Elephas maximus indicus: one gene and its partner. Each later gene encodes a partner of the first gene's protein in a complex. Links are inferred from orthologs where the notes say so. Each region holds a gene or a part of one and is shown in the gene's direction. Other genes may lie near its edges.

Region 1 (15,589 bases):
TCGACTCGACGGCACTGGTTTTTTGGTTTTTAAAACATCCTTCTGGTATTCTCTGCTTTCAGCCAGGATCCATCTGACATCGGCAATGATATCCCTGGTTCCACGTCCTCTTCTGAAACTGGCCTGAATCTCTGGTAGTTCCCTGTTGATATACTGCTGCAGCCGTTTTTGAATGATTGTCAGCAAAATTTTGCTTGCTTATGATATTAATGATATTGTTTATAATTTCCACATTTGGTTGGATCACCTTTCTTGGGAATATGCATAAATATGGATCACTTATGATTCTTCTTAACCCTCTAAATACAATACACCCCTTATACCTGCACTGAGGCAACCATTCCCATGACAATGCCCTTTGTATAGCACTTACCAGACCATTTACCTATGGTTGTTAATTCTTAAGGAACCCTGGTGTTGCAATGGTTAAGCGCTCCTTGCTACCCAAGTAGTTCTAACCCACCAGCTTCTCCGAGGGAGAAAGGTGTGACAATTTCTTCTGTAGTGATTCTAGCCTAGGAAATGCTATGGGGCAGTTCTGCTCTGTCATATTGGATCACTATGAGTCAGAATCGACTTAACAGCACACAACAACTGTTAATTCTACAATATTATCTCATGATTACATTTTACGTGCTGGGCCCTGTGGTATGTAACCACATACAATATCTCATTTGAGTCCCTCTCAGTCCTTGAGTGTGAGTACCCCTCCTTACCCTCATTTAATGGATGAAGAAACAATCTTAGGAATACTAGGTATCTTAGTTTCTTAATAGCACAAGTGGGTGGCTTTAACAAACAGAAATTTATTTTCTCAGTTTAGGAGTCTAGAAGTTTGAATTCAGAGCACATACTCTAGGGGAGCACTTTCTTTCTGTTCTGGAGGAAAATTCTTATTTCAGCTTCTCTTTAGCTGGTGGCCATCCTTGGAGTTCTACGTCTTGTAGACTGGTCTACCTCGGCTTTCTTCAGACAGTGTCAGTCTTCCCCCTGTACCCACTTTCTTCTATGCCTTCTGCGACCCTAATACACCCCAGTGTGTTTCCTCCTTTTCAAAATGGGCGACCGACAGCTCGACGTAACTAAGGCCATGATGAACGTTTAAGTTTTTCTCCTTCCTTTGCCTGCCTCCTCCTTTGCATACCTTTGCTAATGACTTTGTTTTGACCTAATGCTAATGATTTCTTTCTTTGTTTGATCTGATGCAAATTACTTTGTTTTGTTCTGTCCAACCACCAACAGAAAAATCAGAGACCTGATGTCTGACCTGTATATCTTTAGCCTGGTAAGGTGATGTTGGGCATGTATCTCTTTAGTCTTTTGGCATTATCTTATAATGAATAACTCCTCCAGCCATGCCATCTGCAGGCTACAAAAACAATTCTAACCCTTCTAAAAATTCTATATAAGCTTTAATGTAAAATTGCTCTTTGGGACTCCACAGAGACAGTCTGTGCTGCTGAGGTCTCCAGTGACATATACATCTCCTGAATAAACTTTCTCACTCTTTCTAACTTGGAGTATGTTTCATTGGCTCGACTGCTCCAGGGCACGGACCCTAACTGGGCAACACTACTACTACTCTGCTCTTATATATCTCAACAGTGATTGGTTTAAAACACACCCTACACTGATATGGCAACATTAACATAACAAAGAAAATCTTATTCTCAAATGGGATTACATCCACAGGTATAGGGGTTAGGATTCCAACACACAATTTGGAAAGACACAACCTGATCCATAACACTGGGTAACTTGGGAGTGAAAAAGGCTGGAACCATTCGGAGCTGTGCAAAGTGAAGACTATTACCCAAAGATGCTTATAACTGATCCAGCAAGGGACCCAGTGGATTTTAAAGATGTAAAATTATAGAGACTCATGTAAAAACAACACTTTATTTTGGTTTCTTCCCATAGTATAGAGGGAGGATACACTGCCTGGAGCAAAGTAAAGATTTCATTTCGGAGCTTTAGTAGGAAGATTTCAAGATGGTGGGTATCTTTGTAAAATAGAGAAATGGCAAAACTGCAAGACATCAAGCAAAGTCCCTCTGAAGAGATGCTATACGAAGAACTTAAGTTTCCCTATCACTTGAACTCTGCTAACAGCCATATTTTACATCATGTTTTGAATCCTTTCCTATATTCTAATTCCTTCTACTTAGCCAATAGGCTCCAGTGCAGTTTGTTACTCATGCTTCCGTGCCTCACCTCTCCTTTGAAGTAAGGCTAGCAGTGGCAGTATCACACCTGGAGGTGTGATAATCCTGGAGTTCTAGATGGTGTCCAGTCCTCAAATAAGCAGAGGCACAAGGCAGAGCTAAGAGTAGCAAAAGAAGCAGCTGAAAGTGGATAAACTTAGGAGGGTCATAACAATATTAATGATAATGGTTGTTGTTGTTGCTAGGTGCCATCGAGTCGATTCCGTCGCATAATGATCCTATATGTACAACAGAACGAAACACTGCCCAGTCCTGCACCACTCTTAGAATCATTGCTATATTTGAGCCTGTTGTTGCAGCCACTGTGTCAATCCATCTCATCGAGGATCTTCCTCTTTTTTCCTGACCCTCTACCAAGCATGATGTCTTTTTCCAGGGACTGATTCCTCCTGATAACATACCCAAAGTCCGCAAGATGCAGTCTCACCATCTTTGCTTCTAAGGAGTACTCTGGCTATATTTCTTCCAAGACACATTTGTTCGTTCTTCTGACAGTTCATGGCGTATTCACCAACATCATAATTCAAAGGCATCAATTCTTCTTCCATCTTCCTTATTTATTGTCCAGCATTCTCATGCACATGAGGTGACTGAAATACCATGGCTTGGGTCAGGCGCACCTTAGTCCTCAAAGTGACATTTTTGCTTTTTAACACTAAAAAGGTCTGGTGGTGTAGCAGTTAACCAAAAGGTCAGCAGTTCGAATCCACCAGGCACTCCTTTGAAACTCTATAGGGCAATTCTACTCTGTCCTATGTGTTGGAAGCGACTCGATGGCAATGGTTTTTTTTTTTTTTTTTTTTTTTTGCAGAATTGCCCAATGCAATGCATTTTTTATTTCTTGACTATTGATTCCATGGGCATTGATTGTAGATCCAAGTAAAATGAAATCCTAAACATCTTCAATATTTTCTTTGTTTATTATGGTATTACCATTTATGATCCCTACATGTCTGTCAGTCTGTCGTATTGTGGGGGCTTGCATCTTGCTGTGATGTTGGAAGCTATGCCTCCGGTATTCAAATACCAGCAGCGTTACCCATGGTGGACAGGTTTCAGCTGAGCTTCCAGACTAAGACAGACTAGGATGAAGGACCCAGTGGTCTACTTCTGAAAAGATTTAGTCAATGAAAACCTTACGAATAGCAGCGGAACATTGTTTGACATAGTGCCAGAAGATGAGCCCTGCAGGTGGGAAGGCACTCAAACTACGTACGACTGGGAAAGAGCTGCCTCCTCGAAATAGAGTCGACTTTAATGATATGGACAGAGCCAGCTTTCCGGACTTTTCTGTGCTGATATGGCACGAGTCAAAATGAGAAGAAACAGCTGCAAACATCCATTAATAATCGGAACCTGGAATGTACAAAGTATGTCTCTAGAAAAATTGGAAACTGTCAAAAATGAAATGCAATGCATAAAGACCAATATCCTAGGCATTAGTGAGCTGAAATGGACTGGTATTGGCCATTTTGAATCGGACGATCATATGGACTATTATGCTGGGAATAACAACTTTTTCAGATGAATGGCGTCAGTCACATTCACTGTCAAAAGGAACATTTCAAAATCTATCCCAGAGTACAACACTGTCAGTGATAGAATAATATCCCTATGCCTACAAGGAAGACCAGTTTATATGACTATTATTCAAATTTATGCACCAACCACTAAGGCTGAAGATGAAGAAATTGGAGATTTTTACCAACTTCTGCAGTCTAAAATTGATGGAACATACACTCAGGATGCACTGATAATTACTGGTGATTGGAATTTAGAAACAAAGAAGAAAGATCAGAAGTTGGAAAATGTGGCCTTGGTGATAGAAACGATGCTGGTGATTGAGTGACAGAATTTTGCCAAGACCAATGACTTCTTCATTGCAAACTCTTTTTTTTGCCAACATAAACAGTGACTATACACATGGACCTTGCCAGGCGGAATACACAGGAATCAAATCAACTACATCTGTGGAAAGAGATGATGAAAAAGCTCAATATCACCAGTCAGAACAAGGCTGGGGGCCAATGCGGGAACAGACCATCAACTGCTCACAAGCAAGTTCAAGTTGAAACTGAAGAAAATTAGAACAAGTCTGCAAGAGCTAAAGTATGACCTTGAATATATCCCACCTGAATTTAGAGACGATCTCAAGATTAGATTTGATGCCTTGAACACTAATGACTGAAGATGAGACGAGTTCTGGAATGACATCAAAGACACCTCAACATAAAGAAGACAAAAATCTTCACAACTGGACCAATAAGTAGGAAACCCTGGTGGCACAGTGGTTAAGTGCTATGGCTGCTAACCAGAAGGTCAGCAATTCAAATCCACGAGGCGCTTCTTGGAGACCCTAGGGGCAGTTCTACACTGTCCTATAGTGTCGTTATGAGTCAGAATTGACTCTATGGCAATGGGTTTTTTTGGGTGGGTTTTTGGGACCAATAAGCGATGTCATGATAAATGGATAAAAGACTGAAGTTGTCAAGGATTTTATTTTACTTGGATCCACAATCAACACCCATGAAAGCGGCAGTCAGGAAATCAAAAGATGCATTGCATCGGGCAAATCTGCTGCAAAAGACCTCTTTAAAGTGTTGAAAAGCAAAGATGTCACTTTGAGGACTAACAAGCTATGGTGCTTTCAGTCGCTTCACATGCATGGGAAAGCTGGAGATGAATAAGGAAGACCAAAGAAGAACTGATGCCTTTGATTTATAGTGTTGGCAAAGAATATTGAATATACTGTGAACTGCCAAAAGAAGGAATAAATCTATCTTGCAAGAAGTACAGCCAGAATGCTCCTTAGAAACAAGGATGGTAAGGATATGTCACTCACATACTTTGGGCATGTTATCAAGAGGGATCAGTCCCTGGAGAAGGGCACCATGCTTGGTAGAGGGTCAGCAAAAAAGCAGAAGACCCTCAACAAGATGGACTGACACAGTGGCTGCAACAACGGGCTCACGCATAACAATGATTGTGAGGATGGCACAGGACTGGACAGTGTTTCGTTGTTGCACTTAGGGTTGCTATGAATCAGAACTGACTCGAAAGCATGTAACAACAACAATTGAATCATTACACTAAGTGCTTTGCATAGATAATATCATTACGATCATATAGTACTATGATTTAGCTATTTTTACTATTTCCATTTTGTAGACCAGGAAATGACACAGAGAATTAAAATAACTTTGGCCAAGATCACACAACAGTGTTAGAGTAGGGAAGTGAACCCATGCAATTTAAGTGTAGATCCTGCACTGAAACACTGCAACCATCCTGCCTCCTGTTTCCCAAATAAATTTTTAAAAAAGGTCAACCGTAAAGGTGGGGTGAGGGAAGACAGATACTTGAGTCACGCTAGTATAAAAAGCAGTTCATAATGTATAATCAGCTGAGTGATTAATAGCTAGAATTCTACTTTTTTTTTTTTTGTATTATGACAATGTAGACTTGTAAATCAGGCTCTTTTGGCAAAAAAAAATCCAACTCTAGGCAGAGAAAGGAATAAAAGGCAAGGAAAAAAGTAAAGCAGCTCTGGGGGTCTCAGCAACAGCAGCTTGTGGACCATATATCTATTGAGCTGCAATTAATGTAATTTTGTCAACATTCCTTCAGTCTCAGTGTCTCTACATTCCAATTTCAAATCCCAGGAGAGTGCATCCAGTAGGCCCACATTAATCAGAAAACTCTTCTATATATGTGTGTCCAGGTTTTCCTCTCCATTACAATCACCTCCATAATGGGATATGCTGTGAGTAACCAATCAGTTGAAAGGCAGTTTCCTTGGGCACACACCCTGCATCAAATATAAGTGGATATTCTGGCAAGGCCTGTGAGCTTTTGCTCGCACCCTGGATCCTATTTGTCTGGCCTCTGGTTCTTGGGATTTGAGTTAGCAGCTTACTGCTATCTTGCTCGCCAATCTTGGGATTTGTTGGGCAGCCTGTGAGCCAGAGCCCTGCCATCTAACCAGCAGATTTTGGGCTCGCCAGCCCCTTCAGCTACATGAGTCAGGAGAAGCCTCCAGCCTGACCCACATTTCCAGCCTCTACAACTGTGTGAATCTTTTCCTTAATATAAATCTCTCCATATATATATGTATATGCTTTACTGGTTTTGCTTCTCTAGAGAACCCAGCCTAAGACATTTGGAACCGGGGGTAGTTCCAGAGAAACAAAACGCTAAGGGTGAGTTTTCTAAATTGGTTTTCAAATCTGGTTAGTCTTAAAGATGTTGATGGCTCTGCTTTCAGTAGTAAAGATGACACAGCTAATCCTTGAAAGAAAGCCTTATTTCTTATAGTAACAGCTGATATCGCCAAAAATACTATGTAGAGGATGGGATTTTCCAGCCTCTATAACCATGTGAGCCATTTCCTTGATATAAATCTCTCTATACGGGGCAGTTCTACTCTGTCCTATAGGGTCGCTATGAGTCGGAATCCACTCGACAGCAATGGGTTTTTTTTTTTTTTTAATAAGGTTAAGCGTTTGGCTGCTAACCAAAAGGTTGGCAGTTCGAATACACCAGCCGCTCCTTGGAAGCCATATGGGGCAGTTCTACTCTGTCCTATAGAGTCCTCTGAGTCAGAATCAACTCAACGGCAACAGTTTCGTTGTTGTTGTTGTTTGTTTTATATATACATATATATATATAATGCTTTACTGGCTTTGCTTCTCTAGCGAAGCCAGCCTAAGACAGTGAGAAAGTCTGTATATGTTCTAGGAGAGAAGAGAGAAAATGGGGAATAAGCAACATTGAAGAAAATAATGGCTTAAAATTTTCTATAATTGTTGGAGGACATTAATCCTGACATTCAGGAATCCCTTTAAATCCCAAGCATAGTTAAAATAAAACCCAAAAACAACAAAAAAGAAGAAATCCAGACCTAGATTTAATCACTGTGAAACCACAAAACAATCAAGACAAAAAAGTTCCGAAAGAAAGAGAGAGAAAAAGAAAGACTTAAGGTACCAGATTTTAGATACAAGTAGAGAAGATAAAAGTAGGTAATAATTCTTATTAGGATTGGGGTAAAGTTCCTTTGAGATTCATCAGTATGACAGGAAGTCTCCTGATTAAGTGCGGTAGAAAATTCTTGAATACAAGAGTATGTAATGGAGGGGACAAGCTGGACACACACATAAACAAGAGTTTCCACACCAAGCAGAATAATACAGATTAGAACATTAGATTATAAACTAAACACAATTTTTCCTAAAAAATGAAGAGATTTAAATAAAGAAGTGAGGAAAATAATAACTAACATTTACTGAGTACTATGTGGTCGCTATGAGGCAGAATCGACTCTACAGCAATGGGTTGGGTTTGGTTTTTGGTAGAGTTAAGAAAAAAGAAACTGAGCAGTGAAGAACTAAACACATCACTTACGAACTTTTGGGGGAAGGAGTCCAAAGTTGGTAAAAGACAATATCCACGACTCTAGATGTCTATTATAATCCAAAGTTTTTACTAACACAGCTCATTGGACATAAAAGCTCCAAGAACTATTTTTCTTTTGCAGGTGTTGAGTATAGGAGCCCTGGTTGCTCAACGGTCAAGATCTTGGCTATTAACCAAAAGGTCGGCAGTTCAAATCCACCAGCCTCTCCTTGGAAACCCTATGGGGCAGCTCTACTCTATCCCATAGGGTAGCAATGAGATCCGAATCCACCGGAGGGCGACGTGTTTGTTTTTCGGTTGTGTGTATAGATCAACTACAATAGAAAGACGTCGGAAAGAACTGAAAAATAGGACATATGATTATAAGAGGCTACCAGCCTTGGAAACCCTATGGGGGAGTTCTACTCTGTTCTTACAGGGTTGCTATGAATTGGAATCAATTGCAACCGGTTTGGGTTTTGGTAGCGGGGATTAGCTGTCACCTTTTCATCTGGGAATGCACATTCCACTCTAACTTCTCAGTGTAAATTACATTAAAATTACATAGACGCCAACCAGGTGTCCCATTTATATTTTTAGGAGTGAATACTGAGGGCAGATTCCAGCAGAGTTTTGTTCTTCACGTTCCAAATTACCCGAACTTTACTGATTATTCCACCGTTAGAACCTTCGCGATTTGCCGGGCACTGAAATCCATGAGTCACAAACACCGGGTCATAAAATCATAGCAGTAAAGAACAGGTGAAAAGTTGTTCCTAGTTGTGTTGTGCAGGAGCATACAACTCCCGTCATTCCCTGTCAAAAATCAACAAATAAACAGAGGCACCGCATTTCGGATTCAGCGGCGCACTGTTCGCAATGGCGCCTAGTTTTTGTAGTTTCCACGTGGAAAGCTGCCCGCCCATCAAGGCTCGTTCCGGAGGGAGGAAGACTACACTTCCCACAAAGGCGCAAGAGCTGACACCGACCGGCTTACGTCATTGCCCCAGTCAGCCAATGGCAGCACCGGGCGGCAGTGAGGCGAGCGCCGTCAGGCGCCAAAGTGTTTCTTTTCTTTTTTTTTTTTTTTTCCGGAGCCGAGCGGGTGCTGCTAGCGGAGGCGCCATATTGAAAGGGACAAAACTCCGGCGACAGCGAGTGACACAAATAAACCCCTGGACGCCCTCGTTACCCCAGTTCTAAGGGCCGCGATGTTGTACCTAGAAGACTATCTGGAGAGTGAGTGCGCGGCGCTGACGTGGGCCGCCGGTGTGAGCCGCGGGCGGGCGAGAGTGCGAGTGGCCGGGCAGGCGGGATGGCGGGAGGGAGGGGGCGGCGGGGGATGTTTCTTTCTCACGGTAACTGGCAGGCTCGTTGTGGGCTGCCGGCTCCCTGGCCCCCCCGACGCACGCAGACGCGCAGTGACGTAGGCGCGTATTTTCGCCGTTGGCCCCGCCCCTCTGACGGACTCTCTCCTTGACAGTGATTGAGCAGCTTCCCATGGACTTGCGGGACCGCTTCACGGAGATGCGCGAGATGGACTTGCAGGTGCAGAGTAAGTCGCCCGGTTTGCTCTTGTTCGCTTTGCGCATCCAGCGCTAGACTTGCCGGCTCTTTGACTCTTCTGGCGCGCTCGCTAGTGCGTAAGGAGTTGTCAAAGAGAACGGGCATTGCCGAATCTTGTCTCTTCTCTCCCGCGCTGCTTTTCTCGTGGCGTTCACAAGAGGAGACATTGGGGCAAGTGTATTTTTTTCTCGAATTTGGGTCTGTGCAAAAAAAAAAAAGTATACATTTATTTATTTGGCATATAATGGAATATAATGGAATTTACATCAGCATAAATGTTGAGAAGGTTTTGACTTGAGCTAATACGTTACCGAATTTAAATTTCAACACTTCTTTCAAAGCTCCTCTCCTTAAAATTTTCAAGAGCAGAAAACTTCTAGAAGCATGGCTTGTATGTAGGTTTTCAGAAACCCTGGTGAACTTGGAATACCACATTTTGGAAAGTTACACATTGTAGCGTACGTTCTCAGTTGTCAGCCACACAGTGTTTCCTCAATCAAAATGAGTGAGGGTAATTAGATTTTATTGTAAAGCTACCTGTCGCATGTAATAACATTTTTGTCAGCGAGCTTTTCTTCTTTTCGTGATAGCTTGGTTGTCGGGTGACTTTACCGAAATTACTTTGCCGTTTCAACTAGAGAGTTGGCAAATGGCCTTCAGGGTGTTCTGGAATACACTGGAATTATATCCTATGTATATATATATATTTTTTTTTTTTTTGATTTCTTTTTTTCTGGCAAGTTCTGAAAAGGGCCCATTATTCAGAGAATGCAAAGAATCACTGTCTTTGGAGATAAGAAAGCAAATACTTAGGCAGAATTACATTAACTAAAAAAAAAAATATATATACATTACAAAGTAAGAAAACAGTGCTGTATACCATATTTATGTCTACCATGCTGGGACAGAACCTGACAAACCTTCCCTATTTGTGAAATGAGTATGATGAGAGTTGTTTCAAGTGTCTTGTAGGGATACTTTGTTAAAAATTAAGAATGGGAAAAGAATAATATGATACATAATTAAAATGTATAATTGAAAGTCCCTTGTTGGATGTGTCACTCCCTTTGTTTGTAGGTACTCCTTAATTGTGTAATTAGCATTAATAGCTAGCCTTCATGGAGTATGGCCCCAGAAGATATGTGTTTTGATTCCATGCATCCCAGCTATGTGTGGTCTGTATATAAAATGTTTGTCATGCTGGCAGGTTTTCTTAGAAAAGTAGGCATGGATGTTGATGTGGGTTTTGAATTCTGATGGAGAGGAAAGGAGTATTATGGAAAGAGATCAGCTCAACAAGCTTCCCAGACTGTGGAAGCCTTGGAGTAGCTAAGACCCTGTCCTTTTCATTTCCCCTTGCTTCTCTGCACCCCTCCCCCCCCCAGCCAATACATCTGTACCCATTGTTAATGAATGTACTTTCTCAACCTCTTACCAGTTTCATTAGGGGCATATTAGAAAGGTGATATGGTATGGAAGCCGCCACATCCTTCTACTGGGTATACTGTATGATGGAAGTCTGAATTGTACATGGGGCTCTCTATCCAGCTCACAAAACCCAATTTAACTTTATTATAGTTGAAATGCTAAAGATTTTTTAAAGTATTGTTTTCTGCAGGATCAAGCACAGACTTTTATGTCAGGTAGGTCTGAGTTCATTTAGGGCTTTGCTACTAACTTACTGACTTTGATCACATTACCACTTCTGAGGAGTTTTCATCATCTTTAAAATGAGAATGATCTAAGGATTAAAATAATACAGATAAGTTACAAAGTATAGTACGTGGTGCAAAAAAAAGCAAAACCAAACCCATTGCCCTGGAGTCGATTTCGACTCATAGCAACCCTGTAGGACAGGGTAGAGCTGTGCCATAGAGTTTCCAAGGAGCACCTGGTGGATTTGAACTGCCGACCTTTTGGTTATCAGTTGTGGCACTTAACCATTATGCCACCAAGTTTTCCAAAAAAGAACATTTTATAAATTTTCATTATCATCACAAATTTAAAATTCTCTTATAATTTATACAAATTACAGGCTTTTTAACTTGTATTTTTTTTTTTTTTACAATGATTAGAGTTTTCTAACCTTAATAGATATTATGGGTTAAAAGAGGTCTCTGTGTTAAATAAGTTTATTTATTAAAAAAGGAAAATACTTTTTAAAAAATTACAGTAGGGACTCTCAGAATCTTTATGAAGCTGTTTTGTACTGCAAATTTCCAAAAGGAAGATAGAATAAAAAGGTTTTCCTCAGCTTACATGATGACAGAATCCCATTTATTTGTCCTTTTGTAAAAAGGAGCCCTGGGGGTGCAGTCCTTAAAGCACTCAGCTGCTAATTAAAGGGTCTGCAGTTTGAACCCACCAGCCACTCCCCAGGAGAAAGATGTGGCAGTCTGCTTCAGTAAAGATTTACAGCCTCGGAAACCGTGTGGGGCAGTTCTGCTCTGTCCTTATAGGGTTGCTATGAGCTGGAATCTACTCAGTGGCAGTGGGTTTTGGTTAACAGACATCAAGTGAGATGATTATTCCTGGCACAGGCACACACTTTGAGGAAAACTTATCTAGAATAACTAACAGTCTGTTAAGTGAATAAATGATTGTACCTGTTACATTCACTTGTGATAAGAGATAATGAGATACTTAAGGCCATATCACGAGATATTAAGATCTTTTTACCACCTTTTCTTATTAAAAGAGGTGTAAGGATTAAGTAGTGGTGCTTTCAATAAGTAATTGTGTTTTGAGACATTTAGCCTATTTAATTCTAATCACTTCTTTTTTTGGAGAAACAAAATTTTTCTGTGTGCTTTAAGTGAAAGTTCACAGCTCAAGTTAGCTTCTCATACAATAATTTATACACACATTGTTATGTGGCCCTAGTTGGTATCCCTGTAATACGTCATCATGCCTTTTTCTACCCTGAATTTCCTGTGTCCATTCAGCCAGCTCCTGTCCTTTCTGCCTTCTCATCTCGCCTCCAGACAGGAGCTGCCTATGTAGTCTTACGTATCTACTTGAATTAAGAAGCACACTCTTCATGAGTATCATTTTATGTTTTATAATCCATTCTAATCTTTGTCTGAAGAGTTGTCTTCAGGAAAGGTTTTAGTTCTGGGTTAACAGAGAATCTGGGGGCCATGTCTTCTGAGGCTCCTCCAGTCTCAGTCAGACCATTAAGTCTGGCCTTTTTACTAGAATTTGAGTTCTGCATCCTACTTTTCTGCTGCTCTGTCAGGGACTTTCTGTTGTGTTTCCTGTCAGGGTGGTAATTGGTGGTGGCTGGGCACCATCTAGTTCTTCTGGTCTCAGGTTGATGGAGTCTCTGGTTTATGTGGCCCTTTTTATCTCTTAGGCTAATATTTTCCTTGTGTCTTTGGTGTTCTTCATTCTGCTTTGCTCCAGGTGGGTTGGGACCAATTGATGCTTCTCACATGACTGCTCGCTAGCTGCATGCAGGCTGCCCACCTTGGGGCTTCTGTCCAGGGTGGCGGTGCTGGGCAGCACATCTGAGTTGATGTAGGTCAGCTAGGTGGACTTGGTGTCCTGGGTCCAACTCTCCTAGTAGCAGGGCCCAATGGCATCAGCCCGTCTCCTGCCACAGCCCATCCTCCTGCGCTATGGGTGTGCCCAGCAGCTACTTGGCTGGCTACTCCGAGCGGCTCAGCCCTGGCAGCACAGCTCAGGCCCATGGGGAGGCAGCGGCAGCATCATATCCTTGCGCCTACCTGCCTGCCCACGCCACAGCTAGGAGCGGAGCTCTGGCGCTGGCTGCCCCCTTTGCTGCCTCCAATAACTTTTCACCTCAAGGCTCAACCATTGAAAAACAATCGGTGTCATTGACTCTACTTGATTATTAGAAAAGACTTTGAAATAACAATCACAGAAATAAATTGTCAGTTGGAAAAAATATAACTTCTTTTTTAGTAAGGTAATCAAGGAATTATATATTCACACAATTAAAGCATGACATACTTAAGTTACTGGCCAAGTGAAAGGAACATATGTTGTCGGGTATGCTTTTTCCCCCAAAGTGTATATATATTTAGTGTATGAACCTGGCTGACTAAATGTAGAAAGTTTTTATTATGTTTCAGATGCAATGGATCAGCTAGAACAAAGAGTCAGTGAATTCTTCATGAATGCGAAGAAAAATAAATCTGAATGGAGAGAAGAACAGATGACATCCATCAAAAAAGTACGTTCAATGTCCTGAATGAATTATCGATAAATATCAGGACCCTATTTCCTGAATATGGAAATAAGGAAAAGTTATTAGTGGCTCTTTAGAATTTAAACAACTTACTGTGTTTTAAAGCTCAAGATGTAGCAATTTTTAATCATTGAAGCATTTTGGTAATTAAATTGTTTCAGTAGTTAGTGATTTATTAAAAAGTTATCGAACCTTAAAAAATAAGTACATACTTTTTTCCTAATTTTTTTTTCCTTTTAAACGGTTTTATTCTAGCTATTGGTAATTAATCTTGCCTTGTCCTTAGAAATATAATACTGTCTGAGTTTTGGCCCCAAACTAGGGTGAAAAATCAGCAGAACTTGTAGTATATTTCCTGTGTTGCTTAGGTACCTAGGTACCTAAGACTTAAGGAAGGGCAGAATCTTTGAGTTGGAAGGTTCCTTAAAGGTCTTTTAGTTTAAAACTAAATTTGTACATGAATTGGGTCTGTAAATGTAGAATTGAGTGTTTATTAATTTTATAGAACTTATAGCTATCTTCCAGAGTGTAGTGAGCATCAGCTCTCAGCCCAAGGTTTGTGTTAAAGGTCTGATCTATCTAGTTTGTTCAGGAATGTATTGGAAAGAACAGCTTAAAAGACATGAGTTTTGTCATGAAAATGACTGGGCCATTTGACTGTGTGACTTTGGAAAAAGAACTTCCTTAGTTCACATAGCTTTAACTAGAATGTAGGCTAGATTTGGAATGTGTTTATTTTTATTTATGTATTTTTTTCTAGAAATTCTGTACATCTTTCTTTGATTGTAGGCTGCTGTCCCTAACTTATAATTTTTCTCCTATCCTTTCCCTAACCCTAACTGGGTTTTTATTGCTAATGTAGGGTGACTGGATATTGCTTTAGTGATAACAGAGTCTCACAGAATAATAATAAAAATGTAGTTATATGTCCTGCATACCCATGTTTAAAAACTATTAATTTATCCTTGAAATCAAAATGTTTTTATTCAGGATTACTATAAAGCTTTGGAAGATGCAGATGAAAAGGTACAATTGGCAAACCAGATATATGACTTGGTAAGTAACATTAAGGCACATACTACATCATAAGTATTTGAATTATGGATTATGTTTTACATTTTACTGACTTAAATGCTATAGGAAGAGTAAACCAAAACTGAAGTGTTTGCTCTTTGGATCCCTTTAATTTGAGTGTTTGCTTTCAGTTTTTTTGGTTTCTTTGTGGAAGAATCAGAGAGAGTCCACAGCATAAATTACTAGGTCAATAACCTTGTATTTTGGCAAAGTCTCCATTTCTGTTACAATTGTATCTGATATTGGACACTTTTTTTTTTAATAAGAATTGATGTTTAACCTTATTTTATAAATCCTTATGTTTTTCAGGTAATGTGTTTACTTGGCTGATAAATCATTTTGAGATTATTTCTGTTGTGTAATACATATAACAGTACTGTGTTAACAAGAATTTTTTTTTTTTTTTTTTAAGTTTTTCCTCTTTATTTTGATGAGTAGGTTTGTTAACTTTCTTTGTGGTTACTTTGGAATTTCTCTTATCTTCCTAGGTTTGAACTAGTCTATTATTACTTGGTATCGCCTTGTCTTCCTTTTCATTAGAAAGTTCTATACCTATAATGCTTATTCCAGCTTGTATTGTTCTGACATTGTTGCCTCTCTGGTTCCCTGTTGTAATTCTTTTGGTTTTGTATAGTCCTTGAGAGTTAATTTCCTAGGTTGGTATCTGGCTGGTATGATCTCATGTCCTAGATTTAGGCTGTGATCTGATTTTTTTTGTTCTCAAACCGAAGGACTCCCTTTAATAATTCTTGTAAGTTTGGTTTATTCTTTACATATTCCCTTAATTTCTGTTTATCTGGAAATTTCGCTATCATACTTGAATGAGAGTTTTGCAGAATGTATTATTGTTGGTTGGCAGTTTTTTTTTCTTTCAAGGTTTTATATACGTCATCCCATTGCCTTCTTCCCTACACAGCTTCTGCCGAATAAGCAGAGCTTAGTCTTATTGTTTCCCCTTTGTATGTGACTTTTTGTTTTTCCCGAGCCGCTGTCAGGATTGTTTCTTTGTCTTTGGATTTAGTGAGTGTGATAATCATATGCCTTGGTGATTTTCATTTGAGGCCTATCCTATATGGGTTTTGTTAAGCTTCATTTTTCATGATATTAGGGAAGTTTT
Region 2 (16,108 bases), on another chromosome or scaffold:
TAAAATTTAAGTGGAGCTCAGCTAAACATCTAAGAATAATAAATTGCTCTTACGATGGTTAAAACAAACACACACCTTGAGTTTCTACAAGGCTAGCCTTCTAGCTTATAACAATTTCAGAAATCATAAACCCAGACACAGTGCTGTCGAGTCGATTCCGACTCATAGCGACCCTGTAGGACAGAGTAGAACTGCCCCGTAGAGCTTCCAAGGAGTGCCTGGTAGATTCAAACTGCCGACCCTTTGGTTTGCTGCCGTAGCACTTAACCGCTACGCCACCAGAAATCATAGCCATCTTTTATTCCTGCCAACTTCCTAATTCCCTGGTGCCATCCAGATAGAGAGGCACTCTCCAATCACAAACAAAACCATTTATTAATAGTCTTTTTTGCATCAGAATCAAGTATCACGCCCTCTCCAAAAACATACCCTTGAAGAGAAAAATCATAAATTCACTAAGATCAAACCTAAGTGGGCACAGTTATACAACAAAAAACCCACACAATTATCCCATAATGTTTTCAGTTATGTTTAGGAACAAAATTTTTCTTTAAACACAGTTGAATAAAACTGTTTCAACATTTGCCAAAGAAGCAGAGAATGAAGGGTATATGAAACAAAAGTGAAAAAGGAATTTAAAACTATTTTTAACTTGGACATATTTACACCTTGACTTCACGTATGAATATAACAGAATCAAGGAGCTGTAGAGTCCACTAAAACCTAATCTTTGACCTGGTGCAAACAAAGTAAGGAAAAAAAAAAAATTTACCCAGTCTGTATTATTAACTGTTAGCCCTAGGGTCTGGCAGAGAATGTAAAAGCCTATAAAAAACACCAGATAGAAAAAAAAAAAAAAAAAAATTTTTTTTTTTTTTTTTAGTAACACCTAAGGACTATCTAAAGTAAGATTATAGACATAAAAGGAGAAAAATGTATCAATAAAGACAAAAAAAATATTTCCTTGTTACTCTTAAATTTTTCCACCTGTTAAATACCTCCATGAGACAGAGGCTGAACCAAATTTTGGGGTGTAAGCTTACCGTCTTTAAATTAATATCATTTCTGACATCCATTCTATATTCCCTGGCTCTATTCTGACTTTTGAGTTAAGAATTTGCTTAATACAATGATTATAACTCAACCATAATGAGAAATGAAGTCCAGATACATGCCGCAACACGAACGAACCTTGAAAACCTTATGCTGTATGATCCTACTTATATGAAATATCTAGAATAGGCAGATGCATAGAAACCAAAGTCTATTAGTGGTTACCAGGGCAGAATAGAGGGGGGAGGAGGAGTCATTGTTTAGGAAGCACTGAGTATCTGTTAACGGTAATAGAAAATTTGGCAAACGATTCGGGTGATAAATTCTCGTAAAAAGACCAGACTTAATGGTCTGACTGAGACAAGAAGGTCCCCGGTGGTCATGGCTCCCAGACCTTCTCTTAGCCCAAGACAGGAACCATTCCCAAAGCCAACTCTTCAGACAGCGATTGGAGTGGACAATGGGATAGAAAAAGATGCTGATGAAGAACGAGCTTCTTGGATCAAGTAGACACTTTGAGACTATGTTGGCATCTCCTGTCTGGAGGGGAGATGAGTGAGCAGAGGGGGTCAGAAGCTGGCAGAATGGGCAGGAAAATGGAGAGTGGAGGGCAGGAGCAGGCTATCTCATTAGGGGGAGAGCAATTAGGAGTATATAGCAAGGTCTATATAAATTTTTGTATGAGGGACTGACTTAATTTGTAAACTTGCACTTAGAGCACAATAAAAATTAAAAAAAAAAGATTCGGGTGATGGTTCTACAACATAATTAATCACCGTCACTGAATCGCTCATGTGAAAAATGTTGAACTGGCAAATATTTTCTTACATACATATATATTTACAACTAAAAAAAAAAAGTTTGCTTAAGCACCATACACAATCACTCTTATTTCTGGGTTACTATGTTTTTTTTTTTTTTTTTTAATGGGGGTAAGGAGAGGTTTCAAATTAAGGACCTACTGTATTTTTTAAAAAACTGGCACTTTCACTTTATCCTTCAAGCTTAGAGTGCAACAAGAGATGCTGTGGCCCTCGAATGCTTTTTACAGGAAAGGCAAAAATCACTTCTCAAGAAAACTGCAGCTTATGAAGAAGATATTTGTGACTATGTATTTGCTCATCTGAGCTGGAATGTGAAAGGTGGAACCTTCTATTCAGCCAATTCAAAATGGCAAGGATGCAATCCTAGGCCTAAAAAATGTCAACATCTCTAAAACATTCAACATCTGGCAATCTCTCCTCCTCACAGTGCAAAGGCAACAGTCACTGTGGGACACCACACATTTCTGATGGAACCTCTAGAACAGATTGTGACTCAAAATCCCCACCACCACCACATTTTCCCTCCTACACACAGTCTGTTGCTTTTCTTGCAGGCTCCTCAATCCTCCCTCAATCTTCATTAGTTTCTAACTACTCTGAGCTCTCTATATTCCCTGGCTCCATTCTCCAAGTTCCAAATTTCTGATACATTTTAAGCTTTCTCCCAGTTCATTTCCTATTACGCAATATTCCTCCACAGCACTCAGAGCCTCCTCCACCTCTTCTAAGGCCTAATTCCCAACATCACTTCCCTCAGCCTCTACTGCAATGGAAAGAGTCTATTTCACCTTCCCCAACTGTTTTTAGGGTCTTTTGACCCTAATTTTCCACATTCCTGAGGCTCTCTTCAAAAATTCCCGTTCGTTTTCAAAGCTGGGCCGTCTAGAGATAGGAGTCACCAAAGGAAGATGTTTGACAAAGTGTGCGTTTGTGCGTATTTGTGTAAGGGGAGGACGAAGTGAGAAGGAATGACGCATGTGGGGGAGTCTCTGAGGAAAAAGCCGGGTCCGATAACTTCCACCACAAAAAAATTCACGATTCGCTAACTCCCCAGCAATCTAAAGCGTCTCATAACTCTTCAATATCTCTAAGTTCCATGGCTTCTCTTTCACACTGTTCATCCAATTAACCCCACAATCAAGTTGGATTCTACCTGTCTCTCACGCTAATTCTCTCTACTTGTCAGTGCTCCGTTTAGTTTCTCTACTCCCTTGGGTTCCCCTTGTTTCCTTCCTACACCTACCTTCAATCTCCATCCCCTCCTGAGTCCTCAACCCGGTCTTGTCGAAAACAGCCAACATCTTCCACACCTTCCTTTTTCTCGTTCTTTTTTTTTTTTTTTTCTCATCCTTTTCACTCATCACTCCCAGTCCCCTGCCAGCTCAGAAACCCCTGCTATTTGAAAATCCAACCCTCTGCCTCTTACCGGTAACCCCTCGAACACCTCCAGCTACAGGTGCCCTGCCAGGTCTCGCTCTCCGTCCCATCGCACAGTCGTCATCAGCCCCCTGCCCACGCCCCGCCCTGCTTACCTGAGGACGAGGTGCAGGAAGAGACCCCGGAATCCACGGATGAAAATCCGATCGTCGACGGCCCAGAGGAGGCCGTCGCCATCTTGGTAGCCCCCCACCTCAGCGCCCTCGCTCCCTTTCAATCGAGCTCTTCCTCTTCTCGAAATCGAATCTTCCCACGTCTCTACACAGAACTCGCGTTCTGTGGGCCACCTCCCCGCCCCCGCCGGGGCCTCTCTCAGACACGTCGGGCCAGCTCCCGGACCAGCTCAGGGACCAGCTCAGGGCCGTACCATTCGGCGGGCATGGGTGGAGAACTCTCTTCTCGCACCCCCTTCGCAACTTTAACAGCTTTCCGCGGGGCTACTTTCCCCCTTCACAAGGGAGCAGGCTCAAGCCGGCTCCGGGGGCCCCGGGTTCGAACCAAACCACACCTAACGGGATAAGGAGGCGTGAGAACTCCGGGCGGAGCAAACGCCCCCTCCCCCTCCTCCGGCCACAGCCTGTTTATCGCCCAACCCCACGGCTCTACTCACGGTGTCCAGGGAAATCCGGGCACCGCGCATGCGCCCGATCTTCTTCTCAAGGTTCCATTCCACCCAGTGGGAGGTGACGGTCCGGATAGGAGTGGAGCCAATCGGGAGCCTGACTGCGGTCACGTGGTGCGGGTCCTTCAAGCCTTGACGAATCCAAGGGTGGAAGACTTACGCGCCCTGGTCGGCTGACTAACCCTATGGTGGCTCGGTGGGTCAATTCAGATTCAACGCTTTGAAAGGATTGGGTTTAGGGTCCTGAACTCGGCCCTCTCAAATTAACAGCCCAGGAAAGAACTCCGGAGAAAAGGGCGTGTGTCAAGTCTGAGATATTAAACAGTCGAATGTTACAAAACATCACAAGCCACGAAGAATCCTTCCCGGCCCTTTTCCGGCTTTACTGCCCTGTTTATTATTTAGCTTAATGTGCGTGCACGTCTTGCCTTAGGAATGACATTTGTAACACCTCCTATGTTTTTGTTTGCCTCAAGCACAATGATGGGCACAGTGACAAAGTTCAATAAATATTTGATAAATGAATGAAGTTCTGTCAAAACGGGCTACAGAAGGCCATTTTTGTTGTTGTTAGGTGCTGTCTAGCGGGTTCCAATTCATAGCGACCCTACGTACAACAAAACCAAACACTGCCCAGTCCTGTGCCATCCTCACAATCATTATTATGCTTGATCCCATTGTTGTAGCCAGTGTGTCGATCCATCTCTGTGAGGGTATTCCTCTTTTTGGCTAACCTTCTACTTTACCAGGCATGATATCCTTCTCCAGGGAATGATCCATCCTGATAAAAAGTCCAAAGTGTGTGAGATGTAGTCTAGCCATCCTTGCTTCTAAGGAGCATTCTGGTTGTACCTCTTCCAAGACAGATTTGTTTATTCTTTTGGCAGTCCATAGTACATTCAATATTCTTCACCAACACCACAATTCAAAGGCATCAATTCTTCAGTCTTCCTTACTCACTGCTCAGCTTTTGCATGCGTATGAGGCTATTGAAAACACCACGGCTTGGGTGAGGTGCACCCTAGTATTCACAGTGACATCTTCCCTTTCTTTGCTAATGGAAGACCATTAGACCATATCAAAACCTTTGCGTGATCCAAACCCTTAGCCTCCAACTCTCCATTCTCTGTGCTCCACAGGTCATAGAGATGAAACAGAGAAACTGCCCAATTTCCATCGTCTAGTCTTCGCACTAACCCACTCCACTAACCCACTCCAGTTTTAACAAAGTACCTTGGAGGTTCTGAACCCTGGTGGTGATTCAGAAACCTGTCTGAACAGATTGTAAACTACTGGACAGCAGGAACTGTTCGGTTTACTGTTGCATTTCCGGCTCCTCATCATGATTGTGTACATCGCAGGGGCTCAATAATTAATGGTTGAATGAATCAATGAAGATAAATGAGGAAAAAAAAAACACGTATAAGTTTTATAGCCCTCAAGATGGGGCCTAGTTATTCTATCCAGATATTCCGGGTTTTTGAAGGAATCTAGGACCCGAATGTCCATAGAATATCCCCTTCTATCTATCCTTCCCCTACTAGATCCAAGATTGTTTCCCTGCTGCCACCTGCTGGATTATTCTTCCTCTTTGGGGTATGAAAGTAGACAACTACTTCAAAGGATTGGATTGACATTGGTAACTTCACAGCAGTGGAATTGTGCAGTGTTGAAGTATTTTATGATGCCTAATTCTTTTTTTTTTTTAATTCTATACCCCCCACCCAACTAAACAGTACAGGGACTGTGTGGGGGCACACTGCCTAGCTCAGGATTGGGCTCATAGTGGGTGTTCAATATTTATTGATTATCTCCGTTTCCATATAAAGCATGGAGTTGCTACCGTTTCCTGAGTTATTTTAGCTATCAGCTGGTATAGAGGTAAAGCTGTTTCTGATTTAAAAATTGGAAAAAGACCAATAAAGCCCTAAGTTACCAGGGCAGGAGGTCAAACAAAGGGATCTGATCTGTCACTTGGATGAAGGGGTGAATTTGACTTCAGCCATCCTGAAAGAAGACACCCCTGTTTGGTGGCTTCTTAAGAGTCTTAGTTTCTGCTTTATGTACCAGAAAATGGTTACTATTAGATACCTACCACCTTGTATTATGTCAGTTTGTGTACCTATTTGTCTCCCTAATAGGACTATGAACCCTTCAGGACAAAGATGACGTCAATTTTAATATCTCAAACATCTGGAACAGAGTAGGTACCCAATACATACCTCCTGAATATATGAATGGATGAAGGCAAAATTCAAGAAGTGGAGCTAGGGGTATTTAAGAAGTAGGCATCTCACGCCCACCCCCAAACCTTGTCTCTGTCCCCACTCCCACTCCATCCCCAGGGTGCCCTCTGAGTCATAGAGGGCAGTAACATTCCTGGCATAGCAAAACTGGGGTGACGTGGCAGGGTGTGGATGCAGGGGCAGGGCGGGACAAGTTGGCTTGGTGCCCCCAAGGAAGTGAAAAAGGGAGTTCACCAATATATACTTTAGGAAAAGGCGCAATGTGGTGGCCACAAAATATGGCCAGGAAGACATACACACAAACACACAGCTTTAGAAAAGCTTCCTTTATGTCTTAGTACAGTTCCTAAAGTCAGAATGGAATGGCTGGTGGCTGGCAAAAGCAACACAGAGGCAAGAATAAGAGCACAGGTACTAATTCATTCCATTTGTAATATGCTAATTCCATCATTCAATGTACATTATTTAGCCACAACTGCCCCAGGCAGTATGAAAGCTCCTGGCATAAGAGATGAAGATAAAGTCCCTGCCCTCAAAAAGATCATAAACTAATAAAGGAGACAGACACCCAAATCGTTACAACAAAAGGTCTCATCATGGAGTTATGTACAAGTGCTATGGTTTGACAACTACATTTTCAGGATGAAAAATGGGAACAGAAGTAGACACAGAATTCTGAAAATGTCACAAAATAAATTGAAACTATTCCAGAGACTCCAGGAGGCATGATCGCCATAGTTATGGGAACTGTGCCTGGAACGAGAGGAATGGATGTGAGGAAAGACTTGACTGCCCTATGTTGTTGCCGTCGAGTCGGTTTCGACTCATAGCGACCCTATGCACAACAAAACAAAACACTGCCTGGTCCTGCGCCATTCTCACAATCGTTGTTACGTTGCAGCCACTGTGTCAGTCCACCTCGTTGAGGGTCTTCCTCTTTTCCGCTGACCCCGTACTTTACCAAGTATGATGTCCTTCTTTAGGGACTGATCCCTCCTGACAACACATCCAAAGTATGTAAGACGCAGTCTCACCATCCATGCTTCTAATAAGCATTCTGGTTGTACTTCTTCCAAGACAGACTTGTTCATTCTTTTGGCAGTCCACGGTATAGTCAACATTCTTCACCAACACCGCAATTCAAAGGCATCAATTTTTCTTTGGTCTTCCTTATTCATTGGTTCAGCTTACACATGTATATGATGAGATTGAAAATACCATGGCTTGGGTCAGGCGCACCTTAGTCTTCAGGGTGACACCTTTGCTTTTCAACATTTTAAAGAGGTCCTTTGCAGCAGATTTACGCAATGCAATGCGTCTTTTGATTTCTTGACTACTGCTTCCATGGCTGTTGATTGTGGATCCAAGTAAAATGAAATCCTTGACAACTTCGATCTTTTCTCCCTTTATTATGATGTTGCTCATTGGTCCAGTTGTGAGGATTTTTGTTTTCTTTATGTTGAGGTGCAATCCATACTGAACGGTGTGGTCTTTGATCTTCATTAGTAAGTGCTTCAAGTCCTCTTCACTTTCAGCAAGCAAGGTTGTATCATCTGCATAACACAGGTTGTTAATGAGTCTTCCTCCAAACCTGATGACCTGTTCTTCATTTAGTCCAGCTTCTCGGATTATTTGCTCAGCATACAGATTGAATAGGTATGGTGAAAGAATACAACCCTGATGCACCCTTTCTTGACTTTAAACCAATCAGTATCCCCTTATTCTGTCTGAACAACTGCCTCTTGATCTATGTATGTAAAGGTTCCTCATGAGCACAATTAAGTGTTCTGGAATTCCCATTCTTCTCAATGTTATCCATAATCTATTATGACCCACACAGTCGAATGCCTTTTTATAGTCAATAAAACACACGTAAACATCCTTCTGGTATTCTCTGCTTTCAGCCAGGATCCATCTGACATCAGCAATGATATCCCTGGTTCCACGTCCTCTTCTGAAATCAGCCTGAATTTCTGGCAGTCCCCTGTGGATATACTGCTGCAGCCGTTTTTGAATGATCTTCAGTAAAATTCTGCTTGCGTGTAATGTTAATGATATTGTTCTATAATTTCCACATTTGGTTGGATCGCCTTTCTTGGGAACAGGCATAAATATGGATCTCTTCCAGTCAGTTGGCCAGGAAGTTGTCTTCCATATTTCTTGGCATAGACGAGTGAACACCTCCAGTGCTTCATCTGTTTGTTGAAACATCTCAATTGATATTCCACCAATTCCTGGAGCCCTGTTTTTCGCCAATGCCTTCACAGCAACTTGGACTTCTTCCTTCAGTACTCCTGACTCCCCTATAGAATAAGAATGTTTCCAGGTAGACAAGAAAGGACAGGAATTTTTTTAAATAATTTTTATTGTGTTTTAAGTGAAAGTTTACAAATCAAGTCAGTCTGTCATATAAAAATTTATACACCTTTCTGTACACTCCTAATTGCTCTCCGCCTAATGAGACAGCACACTTCTTCCCTCCACCGTCTGTCTTCGTGTCCGTTCGGGCAGCTTCTGGCCCCCTCTGCCCTCTCATCTCCTCTCCAGACAGGAGATACCAACACGGTCTCATGTGTAGGACAGGGATTCTAAGAAGAAGAAGCTTGGAGGTATAACAGAGAATTGGGTTCAAGGGAGTGATGCTGGATATACATGGAGATGTGGCAGAAGTGAGATTAAAAAAGCAAGAAGAGGGTAAGTTAGGAAGGCTCTTGAATGGCACATTAATAGTAGTGATCATCTACTAAACATCTACCATGTGCGGACTAAAATTGTGCTAATCAGTTAATAAGTATATTTTTTAATCTTCACAACAGCCTTAAAAGGTATTATTAGCCCCATTTTACAGATGAGGAAATGAGATTCAAAGAGGTAAGGTCACACAGCTGGAAGACCTTAAAGCTCACATTCGAACTCAGGTTTAGTAGGCTCTAAAACTGTGCTCTTAATCACAATACTGTTCTGCCTCGAGGAGCTTAGACTCTATCCTGTGGAAGATGGAGAGCCATTGAAGGTTTTGAGCAGAAGAGTGGCAAAGTCACGTACAAGTTTTTAGAAAGTTTCTTACTAGCAGCAGAGCGGAAAACGGACTGGAGCAGGGGGACAATGACCTCTTCTAAAAGGAAACTGTTCGACTCGCAAATTCTGGACTTAACGGTAGTAAGGCTCTCAGCGCCAGGGATGGCATGCTTCCCACAGCCGAAGCCCCTGCGGGATAAGGCAGGGGTAGCAGAGGCTCTGCGCAGTAGTGGGCGGGGCTGAAGAGTAAAGAAGGCTGGAGGCCCTCGACGCTCTGCTGCTTCTGCCTGTAGACGCCCCGCTTCCGTTGCATCGGTCACACGCAGGTAGTGGTGTCAAGCGCCGAGCTCCGAGACCCGAGCTGGGTGAGGGGCCGCAGGCGGCGGCGTACTCTCGGTGCGCGGTATGAGTTTGGCTGGGGGCCGAGCCCCGCGGAAGACCGCCGGGAACCGGCTTTCTGGGCTTCTAGAGGCCGAGGAGGAAGATGAGTTCTACCAGACGACTTATGGGGGTTTCACAGAGGCAAGAGCCGGGCCCAGGTAGAGGGAGGGGAGAAAACGAAAAGAGGAGTCCTGCCAAAGAAGAAGGGAACGGGAATAGAGAGGAGTCCTGGACGCAGATACTCGAGACGGGGTGAGAGAGTCTGGGGATACACAGTGGAGTCCTAGAGAACAGAGCCCTGGACAGGGCTGAAGGGAGTCAGGGGTGGAGAGGCTCTCTGGAGGGAGACAGCAGAGTGTGGGAGAAACCTACTGTGTATTTCTCTAGCTGCATCTCTCACCCCATGCAAGGCACATCGTAGTCATTCGGTATATACTCGTTGGCCAGCTGCCTGGTTATTTAACTGACATGTAGAAAGTAATCTCTCCAAAAGATAGAGGGGCTTAGCACATTCCTTTTTTCAGGCTTCAAGTCTCACTGTAAATGTCTCCTTAGGTAACTCTTCTTTGACCTGAAAAAGTGTCCCCATTTGTTGCATTCATAGGACATATTTCAATTTGTAATTGGATTTGGTTTACTTATTTGTTTATATTTTCCTATTAGGTTGTAAGCTCTACAAGTTTAGAGATAGTCTGTTTTGCTCAACAGTATATGTCTAATGTCACTCCTTAGATTTTTATTGACCAAATCCATTTATTAAATATCATTGAGCACCCAGAGCATCCCAGGCACTGTAATAGCCTCTAAGAAAACAGAGTATTAAAAACACTGTCCTTAACATTTCATACCTGCATGGGAGAACTAGTTGGGTTAACAGGCAGTTAAAATATTGTGTGATAAGCAGTAAAATAAGAGGTAAACATAGGATGCTATGGTAACCCATGGGAGCCAGAGTTGTGGTCAGCATAGCCATCCAAGGAGAGATGATGTTTAAGCTGAAGACAGTATTAAGAGTAGACTTTGGCTGGTTGAAGAGCTGTAGGGCTGGGAGCTGGGGGAGGGGACCAATCAGTACACTGGAGGGGGTGAGGAAGAGTGTGTAAAAGCACTGAGATTCAGGTCTTGTCTGGGAACCCCCAAGTCTACCCCATTTTCCAGAGGATGAAGAAGAATAAAGATTGGAAAGGCTGGAGGAAATAGGCATGGGCCAGATCATATAGGGGGCATTGTGAGCCAAATTAAGGAGTTTTTTTCTTTAGAGTGAGACGCTTCATCCAAGTTCCATAGTCAGATTTATACTTTAGAAAGAGTACTCTGTGTGAGGGGAATAGTTTGAAGGGGACAAGACTAGAAACAAAGAAACCAGATTAGGCAGTTGCAAAAATCCAGGCAAGAGATAATAGTGGTCTAAACTGAAGTTGTGGCTGTGGGAGGGAGAAACATGGACAGGAGGATTCAAGAGAAAGTAAGGAAATAGAATCCATAGACTTAGGGACTGATTAGGAGTCATACTTACACAGCCTTAACCAAGTAGTTTAAAATAGAACTTTCTCATCCCTCCTCCAAGGCCAATTCCCCTCAGCCCATTTTCCTATTCCTGTCATTTTATGAGTAGTTATTTAATATGTACCCTTCATGCTTCCAAAAAGGATTTAAGAAGGCTTATTATATAAACAAAAAGTAGGAACAGTAAAAATAGAGACAGATCAGATAATTGTACCAGGAGCCTATGCTAAAATGGTAATAGCAGTTGATATTAAATTTAGCTATGAGCTTCTTGACAGCTAAACCCTGAATTTCTCTCTTTCTTTTTTTTTTTTAATAAGAAAGAAGCATGTAAGTACTTCCATCAAAAGAGACAAACTTACTCAGCATTAAATTCCAGGAAAAATTTATCATTCCGTTTTTTATAAAGTATATTAAGTAATAGTGGTTTTATGGGTATAAAAACATTTTCTTATCTAGTCATGCCTATTAATGACCGTCATTAAAAACCAAAAGAGTAATAGTAAACTCATGATTTAGTGAAAGCACTTCGGTTGAGCACTAAGCTAATGTGTAGTTGAACTACTACCCTCTAGTGATACGACTTAATACTGGTTAGAGCTGAGAGGATTAATGTGCTCTGAGGCCGTCTTTCACAAACTTCAGTTGGGAGGAAATGATGGTCATCACTGCAAGACTGAACTCTGGCCAGCTTGGAGTGTCACCCATCAGTGTTATTTGCTTGCTTTGGTAGCATGTGTACCAAGATTAGCCCATCAATCTGTACCACTGATTGAAGAGAGAGCCACATGTTTGAGGTGCTGCCCAGCCCAGTTGAGTTCCCTTCTCCCAAGTGCTTTTTTCTCTTCCCTTTCCGTGGTGGCTCCCACTCTAGCCCTAACCTGCATCATCTCAGGCTTAGGCTGTACTCCAAGCTCTACTTCAGCCCATCTAACCACCTCCAGAGCTTTTTGAAACACTCCTTTGTCACACTGTTTTCGCCTCTCCCAAATCTTCCACATTCCCCATTACCCATAGTAGTAGCACCCAACTGTTTGTCTCTCCCAGCACACCTGAGAAATGAGACATTTCTCTCAGTGATGTTAGTTTACCTCAACAGTGGTAATAGTGCTAGGACAAATAAGGGGAGGAAGAAGATTGAGAATCATTGGCCTGCATATTAAAGTCATGCCTGGCATATAAGCTTCTCTATAGACTGAATGCAGCTGTCTTTTCAAATCGTAAAATACTGAAGGGCAATCAGTTAATGTTGGAAGATGGTTGACTGTGCCAGATTCAAAGGCCTTCAGCTAGGAAGGCTTTTTGCCAGAGACAAACTCTCTGCTCTACTTGGGTCTAAATCCTTATTCCATAAACATGCTTTACAAATTCCTGCTTCTGTACCTTTGTTTCTGTTATTCCATCCGCTCATGATTCCTTCTTTTCTTTGGCTGTCTTAAATACTACCATTATTTTAAACCATGGCTCAAGGCCTCTTCATCCTTTAGAACCTAAAGCAGAGTTCAACAAAACTATGGCCTGCAGAACAAATCTGTCCCACCACTTGTTTCTATTTGGCCCGTTACAGAAAAAGTTTGCTGACACGTGGTCTAAAGGATTAAAGTCTATAGTGTAGACTTTCCCATACCACCAGCCCATAGCAAGCCTTCCTCTGAATCCCTGTAACATTTTATTGCCAATTGTTATTTTATGTGTTGCCTTGCATTAAAACTTTTCTTTTTATAATTATGTCCTGTCCTCCAGTAGACTGTGATCCCCCTGAAAATAGAGACCAAACCATATCCCTGTGTTCTCCAGCGCTTAACACAGTGTGATATAGGTAAAGGGCAGTCAATTATTATTAGAAGGGCGCGGTACTGGAGCCAGTGGCCATCAGTTAGGAAGGCTTCTTGCCCAACGAAATGAAGAACTGGGTTGGGAAGTAGTGTGGGCCAACCCTTAGCAGGAAAATGAAGAGATTCTGTTTCTTCTGAAGGGGCATTGATATCTCTAGTGCCAGCCAGCCCTCATTTCCCTGTCCCCTCAGGAATCAGGAGATGATGAGTATCAAGGGGACCAGTCAGACACAGAGGATGAGGTGGACTCTGACTTTGACATCGATGAAGGGGATGAACCATCCAGTGATGGAGAAGCAGAAGAGCCGAGAAGGAAGCGCCGAATAGTCACCAAGGCCTATAAGGTGCAGAAGGATTCCTGGTTTTTTTGGACCTCTCAGTTCCTGTTCTCCCCTTCATCAGGACCCAGTAGTCCCCACAGCAGTCCCATTTGCTACAATACTAGTTTTCTGTTCTTAAGATTCTAATCCTCTTCCTCCCTTTCTCTTCTCTTCTCTGGTCTCTGATGCCAATTTGTCCCTAGGAGCCTCTCAAGAGCTTGAGGCCTCGGAAGGTGAGCACCCCAGCTGGTAGCTCTCAAAAGACCCGAGAAGAGAAAGCACTGCTGCCACTAGAACTACAGGATGATGGCTCAGACAGTGAGTGGGGATTTTTGGGGGGTGGTGGGGTGAGCAGTCTTCCCACAGACTGACTTGGGGAAGAGGTAATCCTGTTTACTTCTAGGACTAGAGGACAGGTGATAGGAGGACTCAGCATCTGATAACTATCAGTACTATAAGTATGGAATTTCCTAAATGTCCCCAGGATGCTAAGTCTTATATTAAGGGTTTAGTGTCAGTATAAAAGAAGCCCTGGTGGCATAGTAGTTTATGGCTGCTAACCAAAAGGTCGGCAGTTAGAATCCACTAGGCACTCCTTGGAAACTCTATGGGGCAGTTCCACTCTGTCTTATAGGGTCGCTATGGGTCGGAATCGACTCGACGGGAACGGGTTATGGGTATCAGTATAAAAAAGAATTTTTATAGAGGATTTACAGCCCAATTTGTGAGGCAAATAAATAAATAAGTACATGTAGTCCATAGATACACATGTAAGAACAAATTAGCTAATTCTCAATTATCCATTTCTGGAATATCTGCATAAGTTTATCTCAGACTAGTTTTCTTTTGCCATTCAGATTATTTTTGGAATGCTCTTCTAAAGTTAAGAGATTACTAATTATTTTTAATACCAGTTTAAGCAAAACACAGGAGGATAAATCTTTTATCATTGAGGAAAAAATTTAAGCATTTTCAAGCTAGTAAAAATTAATATTTGAAACATCTGTTGATCTGTTCCCTTCTATTAGTATGATTAATCAAGCTGTTAGTGTAACATTTTTCAAGGGGAAGCCTCTTGACTAGTTACAAAGAGAGTGACGAACTGCAAATTTAAGTGGCTTTCTTTAAAGGAGGTGATTATGTGTCATAAAAGACAAAGGCTTAGAAACTGTTGCAGATTTGAGGAGACTAAAAAGATGAGATAACCAAATGTAACACATGATCTTAGACTGGATCCTGTACTGCAGGCAGTAAAAATGCTGTAAGGGACAATAATGGGTCAACTGACAAAATTGGAATATGGATGATAGATTTAAGTAATATATTGGTGTGAAGTTTACTGAAGTTGATAGCTGTATTCTAGTTATATAAAGAATATCCTTATTCTTAGGAAATACACACTGAAGTGTTTACAGGTAAAGAGCTACGATGTGTGCAACTTAAGGTGGTTAAAAAAAAAAAGCAAGCAAATGAGACAGAATGTTTATAGTAGGTGGTCTGGGCAAAGGGCACATGGATGTTCTTTGTACTATTCTTGCAACTTATTGTAAGTTTGAAATAATTTCCAAATAAAAAGCTTAAAAAAAAAAAAGCTCATGATTTCAAAGACTTCTTCCTATCTGATTCTCTTCTCAGGTCGGAAGTCCATGCGTCAGTCTACAGCTGAGCATACACGACAGACGTTCCTTCGGGTACAGGAAAGGCAGGGCCAGTCACGGCGGCGAAAGGGGCCCCACTATGAGCGCCCACTGACCCAGGAGGAGCTGCTTAGGGAAGCCAAGATCACAGAGGAGCTCAACCTGCGTTCACTGGGTCAGTCCGTGATTTCAGGAACAACGGGTAGTGGGGCGGAGGGCATTAAGAAAAGCTGTGAGACCTGAAACACTAGAAGAACCAGAGCAATAGAGTTTTGGGACTAGGAAATCAGGAGAAAGAAATGCGAGAGTAGGTGATTGGGAACCAGGGACTAGGCAGTTGTGAGTGCTCTGAAGAACAAGCAATATGGAGGTACTTTGGCATAAAATGAGAGTCATATAGAACTGATTTCAGATCCTGGGTCTGCTGTTCACTTGCTATAAAACTGAAGACAAATTACATAACCTACTTGTATCTTGCTTTCCTTGTTCACAAAACAAGATAACAATGCCTACCTTCAAATTCAGTAGTCCATAAGATAAATTGCTTTAAAAATTATTCTTGGAAATCTCTTCAGTTTGTGTGCTATTGGGTATACAGCTGTGGAAGAATGACCAGGGAGTTGGAGAATTCAGGAGAGTTTGTAGGCTGCTGAGGAAAGAATATTTCAAGAGTGAGTAACTTTGTTGAATTCTGTTGAGACACAGATTAAGAGAACTGAGAAGTGCCTATTGGTTTTGGTGACATAAAGGTCAGAGGTGACTTAGGAAGCACTTTTTGTGGACCCACCCATATTGAAGTGGGCTGTGAAGGGTAGAAGAAAGGATAGAAACTGTAGGAGAACCTGGGGTCAATGTAGAGTTGTTTTTGTTTGTTTTGTTGAAATATCTTTGGTGAGAAACAACTGAAAGAGTTTGAAAAAAGAAGGGATAATTAATAGTGTAGTTATGGAGAAAGTGGGAGACAGGGCTGGGAGCTAGAGCATACTTGGTGAGTTTGGCCTAAGATACACTGAGAGAAGGGAGAAAAGATGGGTGCTGATAGGTGTCGGTTTGGAAATCCAGAGCAGGACCCTGTAGTGGTTCTCATCTGATGTGTGATGTCTCCTGTCAGGTGTTGGGTGGGGTTGGAAGTTTGAGAGCGAAGTATTTCAATAGTTGTTGAGATAGGATTATCTGGCAGTGTTGGTGCACTTGTTGAGTTTGTGACAGTAAATTTTGATGATACCAGT

What was found.
Region 2: ING3 (region 1) and VPS72 share a complex: the UniProt entries of both Homo sapiens proteins name them as parts of the nuA4 histone acetyltransferase complex. The link is inferred for Elephas maximus indicus from reciprocal best matches to the Homo sapiens genes ING3 and VPS72.

Annotation. Positions count from the first base shown.
Region 1 is NC_064826.1:28,785,104-28,800,692, reverse strand, and holds the start of ING3 (inhibitor of growth protein 3), read left to right. Parts: upstream 1-8,660; 5' UTR 8,661-8,830; coding exon 8,831-8,858; intron 8,859-9,102; coding exon 9,103-9,174; intron 9,175-13,282; coding exon 13,283-13,383; intron 13,384-14,388; coding exon 14,389-14,454; intron 14,455-15,589. UniProt on the Homo sapiens protein: Component of the NuA4 histone acetyltransferase (HAT) complex which is involved in transcriptional activation of select genes principally by acetylation of nucleosomal histones H4 and H2A.
Region 2 is NC_064821.1:185,210,646-185,226,753, reverse strand, and holds the start of VPS72 (vacuolar protein sorting-associated protein 72 homolog), read left to right. Parts: upstream 1-9,501; 5' UTR 9,502-9,605; coding exon 9,606-9,722; intron 9,723-13,113; coding exon 13,114-13,266; intron 13,267-13,445; coding exon 13,446-13,560; intron 13,561-14,877; coding exon 14,878-15,054; intron 15,055-16,108. Other genes in the region: PIP5K1A (phosphatidylinositol 4-phosphate 5-kinase type-1 alpha), read right to left, coding at 3,410-3,491. UniProt on the Homo sapiens protein: Deposition-and-exchange histone chaperone specific for H2AZ1, specifically chaperones H2AZ1 and deposits it into nucleosomes.